Linked DNA regions of Drosophila melanogaster. The protein of the gene in region 2 binds, or shares a complex with, the protein of the main gene of each other region. Each region holds a gene or a part of one and is shown on either strand. Other genes may lie near its edges.

What was found. Proteins that work in one complex are often made in the same cells at the same time.
Region 1: the proteins of mira (region 2) and stau are in contact, whole or in part, in a crystal structure (PDB 5CFF), measured with the Drosophila melanogaster proteins. Residues at the interface, in NP_477292.1 of Drosophila melanogaster: Asn514, Tyr515, Leu517, Thr518, Asn521, Thr522, Ala524, Thr525, Ile528, Leu529, Arg532, Ser536, Asp539, Tyr543; in NP_476751.1 of Drosophila melanogaster: Tyr972, Pro973, Lys974, Asn976, His977, Asn978, Glu979, Phe980, Leu981, Ile983, Pro990, Pro991, Gln992, Ile993, Cys994, His995, Val997, Asn1011, Ile1015, Lys1018, Leu1019.

What each region holds. Positions count from the first base shown.
Region 1 is NT_033778.4:18,122,722-18,127,321, reverse strand, and holds the start of stau (staufen), read left to right. Parts: upstream 1-1,542; 5' UTR 1,543-1,767; intron 1,768-2,394; 5' UTR 2,395-2,443; coding exon 2,444-2,628; intron 2,629-3,448; exon of another isoform or gene 3,449-3,577; intron 3,578-4,459; coding exon 4,460-4,600. Other genes in the region: Spn55B (serpin 55B), read right to left, coding at 25-882. UniProt on the Drosophila melanogaster protein: RNA-binding protein which forms ribonucleoprotein complexes (RNPs) that play critical roles in the localization, translational repression and turnover of RNAs during embryogenesis, neurotransmission and neurogenesis.
Region 2 is NT_033777.3:19,931,525-19,936,869, forward strand, and holds mira (miranda), read right to left. Parts: upstream 3,475-5,345; 5' UTR 3,150-3,474; coding exon 660-3,149; 3' UTR 510-659; downstream 1-509.

The sequences.
Region 1 (4,600 bases), on a different chromosome or scaffold from region 2:
CCAAAAAAAAAAAATAATATGTACCTGCTTCAGTTTCTCGGCCAATTCCAGGGAGTAGTCCACCTTAAACTTGGGGAACTTGACATGGACCTCTTCCACGGTCAACTTGTCGGCCAAATCCACCAGGTTCACAGTCTTGAGCTTCTCGGCTAGGGCGTAAATACCTGTCCGCTCCTGCGGCAGCAGCACGAACATGGAGAGGTCAGAGTCCTGGTAGGGCATCTCCAGGGCAGTGCAGCCCAGATCTTCGAAGAAGCCATAGTTGAACTTGGCCTTCTGGTTCATGTAGTTGATTTTAACCTGCTCCTCCTCGCCCACCCAGAAGATATCCTCCTCGGTGCGCTCCTCGCTGAACTTGTGCGCCCAGCTGCCCTTGAAGTGGAGGGCATTGAGCAGGACCAGCCTGGTGTTGTCCGAGAACGAGTCCGCGCTGACCAGCTCCGTAATCTTGCCCTGAGTCTTGGCATTCACCCAGGCATTGATGGCCTGGGCGGCGGCATCGTTGAGCGCAAAGTTAATGGACTCCGCCTCCGAATGATACTGCTCCTTGATGGCCGACTGGTAGGCGGGCTTCAGCTGCTTGCCCTCCTGCACGTACAGCTTGTTGGCAACGCGCAGCAGGTTACTGTTGCGGTACTTCTCCAGCACAAACTGGAACGTTTGGGCCACCTCCGGCGGAAAGTTGGAGACGAAGTGCAGTGCCTTGGCGATCTCGTCGGCGGTTTCACCCTGCGATCCGGCAAAGGCCAGGGCAATGCAAGTTTGGATGGAGAAGGGCGAGAAGACGACGTTCTCCTTGAGCCCGCCAGCGCTCAAAAGCTGAAAAAGTTCGCTGGTGAAACGGGCACCTCCACGCGCAAATTCCAAATTGAAATCGAACATATTGACGGACTGAACTGAGTAATTGTGGGTGTGCTGCGTAATCGCGGAACTGCGTGTGCTTGCTCTCTGGTCTGCTGTCTACACCGGAATGCCTTAAATGCCATTCGGGGCCACAACAAAAGTGAAAACATCGGCCAGCCGGCGAATGAGTCACAGCCAAAATATTATCAAAACAATCGAAGCGAATTGGTGGCGTCATCATTTTCATGATCTAGCAACCTTGGGGGCATCCCCGGGTTCATCCCAAAAATAAAAGTAATAGGGCGTTCTTTAAATAGCCACTGTTTTTCAGTTTTTGTTTGTCTGATGATAAAATTCTTAAAAATATGTTTTTATTTTTAATATTATTTTGCAGTGTGACCTTAAGCATTGGCGCCTAAAAACGCTGGCTTTCTGTCCAACAAATACTAAAATACACTTGAACAGGAAAACGCATGCTGTTGTTTGTTGTTTGTAATTCAATCAATAAGCCTGTTAGTTAAATATTTCGTAATTACAGATTTAAATAATTTCGAATTAATATTTATGCCCTTTTTAAAGTTATCAATTTCGATAGGCATAAAATACCAGATCGACTATTGTGCAGCCCTGGCGCTTCTGCGCGCGCGCTTTCCAACACCGCCGTACGCAACCACCCCGCTTCCCGCTCGCCTAAAAGCCATTATTTTTCGAGTTTCATCCGCAGCCACAGTGCAAAATAGGTTTATCAATTTAATTTAAGTGTTAAAGTAGTTCTAAAGTGTTTTTTAAGTTGCGCAAACGATCGAGGCCAGCCCGCATGAATGGATGTGCATGTGTCCATCGATCGAACGGAGTATTTGCATTCAGTTGTTGTGATTTTCCCGTGACCATTGCGTACGAAAATCGTTTTGGGAGCGCAAGAAGGTGAGTTGCGTCTGCAGATCGTTATGCCACTCTCGTTTCGGATGCGGACTGGGAATCGGAATGGGGTTACGGAACGGAATGGAAGGGAAGGGAACAGAATCCATGGATGTGTGGATCTGGGTCTAGGTCTTGTTCTTGGTCTTGGTTTGGGTCTGGGTCCTTGAACCCCTGCACGGAATGCACGAAACCTGAATTGCGCACTGCAGCTGCATTTTATCCGATTTCACCAAGAACACACAGAGGCATAAGGCAACCGGAGGGCCGTAAGAACCAGAAAAGTGCAACCAGGAGTGGTTGCTTGGCATCGGCAACGAATCAGTCGATTTGAACCCTTCTACCCGCCGCCTGTCACAATTTGATTTAGGCCGATGTCGTCGCTTCAGTTGCATTTCTATGTATATATATATATATATACGCATATATGTATGCACACACATATGTATGTATGTATATAGGTAGATACGTGTGCACCATGTCCATTTGCATTTCGCATTTATATGCCCCGCATGCAGTTGCAACTTGTTTACGCACAATCGCCGCACAAAGAAACACCTCCAGGGCCCTTTGTGCGGACAGGGAAAACATTGTTTGTGTCCGTCTCATCCATGTTCCTTTTCCTCCTTGCAGCTGCGGTCGCTGGTTCATACGGGAGTCCTAAAGGTTACAGCTCAAGAAAATGCAGCACAACGTTCATGCCGCCCGGCCAGCGCCCCACATCCGAGCTGCGCACCATCACAGCCACAGCCATGCCCACATGCATCTGCATCCCGGCATGGAGCAGCACCTGGGCCCCAGTCTTCAGCAGCAACAGCAGCCGCCACCGCCGCCCCAGCAGCCTCCACATCGCGACCTCCACGCACGGTAAGCCATCTATGTCGTTGACGCTATCAGGAATAACAATTAAACCAGATAATGCTTCATCCTTCAGTCAAATAAGAGTAGTATCAGTTTATTAAATTGTGATACCTTTTGGAGTTCGGTTCCAATTTAGCAGTTCTAACTATGTTTGGAGTTAAACAAGATGGTACGCCTTGTTGGTTCAGTTTGTTTTCGGAAATGGTTATCATCCCCTTCATTCAATCGAAACTCCATGTAAACAAGAAGGGGTAACATGGGTTAAATAGGTTTTCCAAGTCTAGAAGAATTCCCATCTATCTATGTACAGGAAGGAACTTTTAGATAGGTGTGTTATTAATATGGGATAACATCTTATAGAGTTTCCTAATCTAGATCGAGATCTCAGTATAAATTGTTTAGGCAATAATGTACCACTAGCCACTGGTTGGATCTCATGGACTCAGTGTGAATCTCAGGTGAGGAAAATGTATCTCCCTGGCTTGGTTGGATCCTAGAGAGATTCCACATCGACTCGAAACGCCAGCTTGTCTGAGCTTTATGCGTTGCGGCAATTATGTTAATTCCTGTCACTGACAATTGGTGTGAGACTCATCATCCCATTTTCTCAACTCATAAATTATAATTTCAGTGGCTCTTTGTTCTTTCGCGCTCAGCATGACTTCCGCTCGATGATAACGGGTTTGCCCTGCCGACTGCGCTGCAATTATCCTTGACGTTCGCGAGTATCCTTCGGCTCGGCCTCCAGTAGTTCAGGCTCCTCGTATTGTCTACGATCATATGTTTCGCCAAACTCTCTGCAAACTGCTCATCCAGTTCCGCATTCAGTTGCGTTTTGCCTGCCGGTCGGATCGGGTCGCACATGAATTTATTACCGACGTTCGCTGATTCTAACGTACATTTGCGTACGATCTTTTAACGATCATGATAGACTTTCATCAGTGCCAAGTGAGAGGTGAAATATGCAAGAAGATTAAAGTTATAGAAACTGAAGCGGGATCTAATAAGTTCGCAAGACAATAAATTAAAGAACTCGTAAAGATAAGAGATGAGATTTTGCAAATGAAATCAAATCCTCTTAACCATATAACTTGCAAGTGAAAGGTACGAAAGGAATAAACTTCAGATATTACTACAGATTTGTATTAGCCTGAAATATGGATTATCACATTGCTCAGACTTGTTTTCAAAAAAGAGTGTCCATAAACATTAAGAGCATTCAATTAATTACCTTTCCCTTACGCAGGACATTTTTATCGCATATCAACTGATCCTAATCACAAATTGCCCATATCAATGTTAATTTGAAGGCTTGTTTCCGTACTGATTTAGCGATTATAAATTGCCAAAAATATTTCCTTGTCTTGTGAAATGTACGAGGCTGTAGGTAAAGGTCGCTAGAGTGCTCTCCTACCCTCGATCATTGGGAAAGGAAAGGTAGGGAGCGGTTGCAGGAGCAGGGTGTCGCAGTAGGTGCGTCTCAATTGAAACTGACAGTTGGCGAAAAATGACACGATGCGTAAGAGAATGCGGCTTTTGTGCTTTGTTAGGATTTTGTCCATTGTTCGGCGTGGTCGCTGTTGTCTGCTATTCCGCAGGAACAACAACATACGGCAGAGGGTTGGGGGGGGCCACGAAGCTTCTAGGACCTCTCTCGTTGGTGTTTTTGTTTTTCCCGTGCGCCAGTCGATGTACACTTTTGTCTCGATGGCCTCTATAATCCTCTTGGTGTGCATTGTTTGCTGATATAACCGCAGAAGCCAGCGCATCCGCCCCAGGAGCTCTTACTTGTGGCCATCGATTAACCAATTTGCTTGCTCTATCCTCCGTTTTGCAGTCTGAATCATCACCATCTCCACGCTCAGCAGCAGCAGCAGCAACAGACGTCGTCGAACCAAGCCGGCGCCGTCGCTGCGGCTGGGGCTGCCTATCACCACGGCAACATCAACAGCAACAGCGGCAGCAACATCTCCAGCAA
Region 2 (5,345 bases):
CCCTTCCTTCTCATTCTTCAACGAGGAGTTTCAGCATGAGAAAATTCCACCACATCGAAATCAAAAACGAGTTGCACGGGGTTGGTATGAAAAACGTAAACAATTTCCTGATTCTTTAGGTACAGGCTTTTTTAAATGCATATACAAGATATAACGTATTTTAAGAACGAAGTTCAAGGTGATGATACTGTACACTTCTACATTTTAGATCAGAATACCTTTTATTTCTTTTTTTTTTTTACAGATAATTTGACCTTATATGAATAAATTGGCTAATAAATGGAAAAAATAATTGATGCATTCTCATTATTTTCGTTACATTCAAAGATGAGTCTATTTAATTTAAATAGCTTTAAAGAAGGTCTCACTTTCCAAGACACCTTTTTCAGATTTTTTATTTGATTTCTCATGCCTTAAAATGCATTGCATCAAAATGATATTTTTTATGAGATTAGGTAAGTCCCATATTTCCAGAACACAAACGCGAAAGATAGAAAACAATCAGATTTGGAATTTAGTCGGAGAGTGCTCGAAAGAGATTTCAGAAACACCTCTGGCTGTGTTGTGTGCAACGTGTATTGATTATATTTCGAATCGGATCTTAGCTAAGGTATATAATTTATAATAGTACGATAGAGTAGTTGTTACAAAGGAATAGCCTAGATGTTGCGCGCCTTGAGCACCTGCTTCTGTGGCGGACTGGGCACGTTCTCCTTGCCGGCGAACAGGACAGTCTTCTTGGGAGTGCTGGCCGCCGATCGTGGTGTTCGTGGGGTGTGGGGGGTGCGCGGACTGCGCGGGGTGTGCGGCGCCTTGGGTGTGCGGGGGGCGGGACGGGGCGAGGACTTGCCGGCGGACAGGAGCTCGTTGATCTCGCTGGTGGTATCCTGGCGCACGCACTTGTCCGAGGAGTTGAGCAGCCACGTGGTGATCTTCTCGCAGTCGGATCGCAGCTCCGAGTCGCACAGCAGATCCTCGATCTTCTCCAGATCGGTGGTATTGGAGCGGTTGGCCTTGCCAGGTGTTCCCAGCAGAGAGGCGGATCCCGGTTGCTTGGACTTGAGGGCAATGTTCTCCAGCTTGAGCTGTTCGCACTCCTCGCGCACCTTAACAAGCATCTGCTCCTTGTTGTCCAGCTCCAATTGGGCGAACTGCAGCACGGTGGCGAATTCATCGAGCGCCTTCTTCATGTCCACCATGTAGGCCTCGCGCGTCTCGTCCTTGCGGCGCAGCTCGTGGTAGTGGGCCAACTGGGCGTCGCCATCGATGCGCTCCTGGAACGAGTTTGCAATCTGATTGAATTTAGCCAACGTCTCCGCCTCGCCGGCTAGCAGCTCGTGGAGCAAGGACTCCTTCAACGATACCTCGCTCTGCAGCGTCTGGGAGGAGGATCTCAGTGCGTTGAGCGCATCCTGGCTCTCGGTCAATTGCTGGCGCAGTTGCTCTGCGTCCGCCTGCAACACCAGATAGCTCTGCTCCAGCGCTCCCTTGGCCAACTGCACCGATTCCAGCTCCGCTCGGTACTGCTCCACATCCGCATCGGACTTCTTTAGACGCTCCATCAGAATGTTGACGGTGGCCCGGGTGTTGGTCAAAGTCAGCTGGTAGTTGTACTTCTCGGTGATCGTCTTGGCCATGTCCTGCTTCAGCTGCACCAGCTGCTGCTGCAGTGCGTCGCTCAGCTGGATGTAGTAGTCGATGCCGTTGCGCAACTGCTCTTCGCATTTCTGCAGCTTCTCGTCGCGCATGCGCAGCATATCATTGGTGGTCTCCAGCAGCACCATCACGTCCTGCTTCTCCAGCTCGATCTTGATCAGCTCGTTCTCGGCCAGCTTCTGGCGCTTGTCCAGCTCGGCGCGCCAGTAGCTCTTCTCGCGCTCCACCGCGCTCTCTAGGTCGCTCTCAACCTGCTGCTGCACCTTGGCCACCGCCTGCTGCTGCTCGGTGTGGCGAGCCTGTTCCCGGCACAGCTGGCGAATGGTATCGCAGTGAGCATCGATCTCGCAGTTCTTGTCGAGAAGCTCGTCTTGCAGCGAGCGGATCAGAGTGCACTTGTTGGCCAAGTCATTCTTCAGGGTGTTGCGCTCCACCTTCAGACACTCCAGTTCCGCCTGGCAGCTCTTGGCCTCCTGTCCGTAGGACAGGGCATCCTGTTCGATCTGCTGCTTCAGCTGGACCACGTCGGCCAGCAGGGAGGCATTGGTCTTCTGGAGATTCTCTACCAGCTCAATGTTCTCGGCGGTCTTTGCCTGCTCCAGGCTGCAGTGCTCGCGGGCCTGAGCCACATCCGCCTGAAGAGCAGAGAGTTGTGCCTGCAGCTGCTCCTCCACCTTTTGACGATCCTCATTCGCTGTCTGCAGCAGCTCGTTGGCCAGACGCAGTGCCTCGCTCTCGGCAACCAACGCCTCCACTTGCCTTTCATGCTCGTCGTGCTGTTGCTGCAACTGCTGCTCCATGGCGGCCAAACGCTCCAAAAGATCAGCGTGCTCCTGGCCCATCTGCTCGTTCAGAGCTTTGTGCGATAAATTCTCACTGGTCAGGGCTTCGATGAGCCGATCTGTCTTGGAGGTAGCCAACTCATGCTCCTCGCGCAACTTGGCCTCGGCTTCCTTCAACTGATCCACATGGCGGCGCAGCACGTCCAGTTGGCTCAACTGGCTCTCGATCAGTTCGTTTTTGTGACGGATTTCGTACTGGAGTGCCTCCTTGCCCTTCAGACGGCTGGCTGACTTGGCCTCCTTTACGGGCGTGGTGGCTGCCGAATGCAGAGGAGTGGATGCCGCTGTTGAGGCGCCACTTCCGCTTCCGGTGGCCGTATCCGTGTGACTGGGAGTCGGACGGAAGCGTAGGCGCTGCGGCAACGAAGGAGTACGGAACAGACGTAATCCCTTTGACTTTTTGTCCTCCTTGGGAATGGCAAATTCCTTGGCCTCCTTCGAGCTGGACGCGAAACGCACGGCGTCCTTGAAGAACTTCTCGATCTGCTCCTTGCGTTCCGGTTGAACGGTTGGCGGAGCAGCGGCTGCCGAAGACGCGGTGGGCGTGGCACTGCCCGCCGATCCCGCCGAGCTGTTGGACGCAGCTGGCGAACCGCAGATGGCCACATCCACGTCGTTGAAACGCTTCAACTTGGCCTTGGAGAAAGACATTTTCGAATTTGTTTTTTGGACTTTCGGTTTAACTTGGTAACGATTCTTTTCGGATTTTGTATCAATGTCTCATTAACAACGCTCGTTTAACTTTCGATATAACAATAACTCAACGATCAAACATAAACACAACTTTAACTTTCGGTTTAATTTGGTTATCTTTTCCTTAGGATTTTTAGGTAAACTGTTTAACAATATGGTAGTAGTCTGTAGTCGTATTTAATTCATCTGTACTTTGTGGTCCGTTCTGTGCTACACTAAACCCGCTATCCCGTTGCTACCCGTTTCACTGTACCTACGCGTTCCGCTGTCAAAACCTAACTGAGCTCACCTTCTGTCCAAGATCCCTGAGGCAGACATAGCCTCCAGCTGGCACAGCGAGTGGAAAAGGGATGGATAGAGTGTGGAAACGAGATAGACCCAGGGGAGGCAAAGAAAACAACCCTCGCTCGAGCAGGGGTCGCTTCAACGATCCTGCATTGCTTCACCTATGTGGGATATACCCAACATTTCAGGTTGGGTATTTCCGAGATCTTCAAACGAAAAATGGTTTATGGTTTTCATTTCGTAGGACTTTCATTTTAATCTAATAACATTAACATTGAATATAATAATTAGTGGACATAGAAAATAATATCACGACAATTTTGGATTTTTTAGATATTAGCTGAACAAAAATTTCATATTCCTTAAACATTCTAATGTTAATTTAATATTAGACAAGTCATTTGCAGACGGCATAATTCTTCTGATCTTAACCACTTTTCAATTTAAATTAAACATATAATATTATATATTTTCTATAATGTCCTCTTTTAAGAGTATCTAGAATTCAGGTAAGCCGAGTTATACGACTCCTAATTTTTTTTTTATTTGGTGGTAGTTCGTGCCACAGTTCTTGATCCCCTGTTCGTCTTATCTGTGTGTTTGTCAAGACGTCGGCCTCGTGTATATAAAGGAAATGTTTTCATTTTAGCGCGCGCAAATGTTGCAATTGTAGTTCAAGACAGCACGAGGAGGGTTCGAGACCGGAGTGGGGGTAGCAAGATGGGTAGGGGTGGAGATAGGACGACGGGGTTCCGCATTCCCCGGCTTAAGTACATATGGGAAATGTGCCGTTGCCGACGAACAGAGACACACTCACTCACATCTGCCTGGGCTTCTCCTTTCCTTCGAGGACTACAAGTAAATGCGATTGCTTTCGAGAATTGCGAGACTACGAGTACAAGGATATGAGCTGATGGCTGGATGGACTGCCTCATCCGTTAGCTCCAACACAGCTGGCAGCCAGCATAATTCGTTAATTTGATACGAAATCCGATGCCCGCATAATTAAAGGAAAATGCGTCGGAAATGGGCGAGTTGCGCCTGCGCAATGAGTTGAATGGAATTGAGGCTAAATGAATTGCATGGAAAATGGAAATGCGTCGGGAAAATTGATTTTTCATGTGATATCGCTAGGCAGTTGGGCAATCGGCCATCTATAATCTGTATAGAGAACCCCCTCATGATATCCTGCTGATCCTGCGGTAGCTGCCTGTGCATCCTGTCATTTTTTCACTTCTTTTCTCCAGTGAGTTTGTCACAACTGCCAACTGAAATCAGCTGGTTGTTCCTTTGATGGCAAACAATGACCGGAAGATTCTAGCAACTGGGAGGTGATAATTCTAGGTTAAAGCAGACAAGCATGAAATTCTGGGTGGGTCAGCCACACACAGCTGTGCAAAAGAATTATAATGTAGAAAGACAATGTAGGGAGCCATAGGACAAGGGAAATCGTTTGGAAATCAATAGAATATTAATACTCAAGCATTACTTTTTAATTTATATTTATGCTTCACAACCTTTGTCAATTTATATAGTTCATGTACATAATATGTATGTATATAAGGTTACGAAACCATCCTTTGGTTTCATAGAGGTAATATTTTCCCATAAACATATTTGCATTTGATTTTCCCAAACTCTCTTATAATAAAAATGGAAATTTTACGAAAAAGGGTTTTCATTATTCGCTGATCCAATGATGTGCAGGACTCACAGTAATATTAATGATGTTAATGACATTTACCCTACGCCGCGACACCTTCAACATCATTTTCCCATGCCTGTCCATGCATAACTACCATTCATTGAACGCGCTATAAGGTAACGCGATCTAATGATGTTTCCATGGGATCCATTCTCACTTCTCCT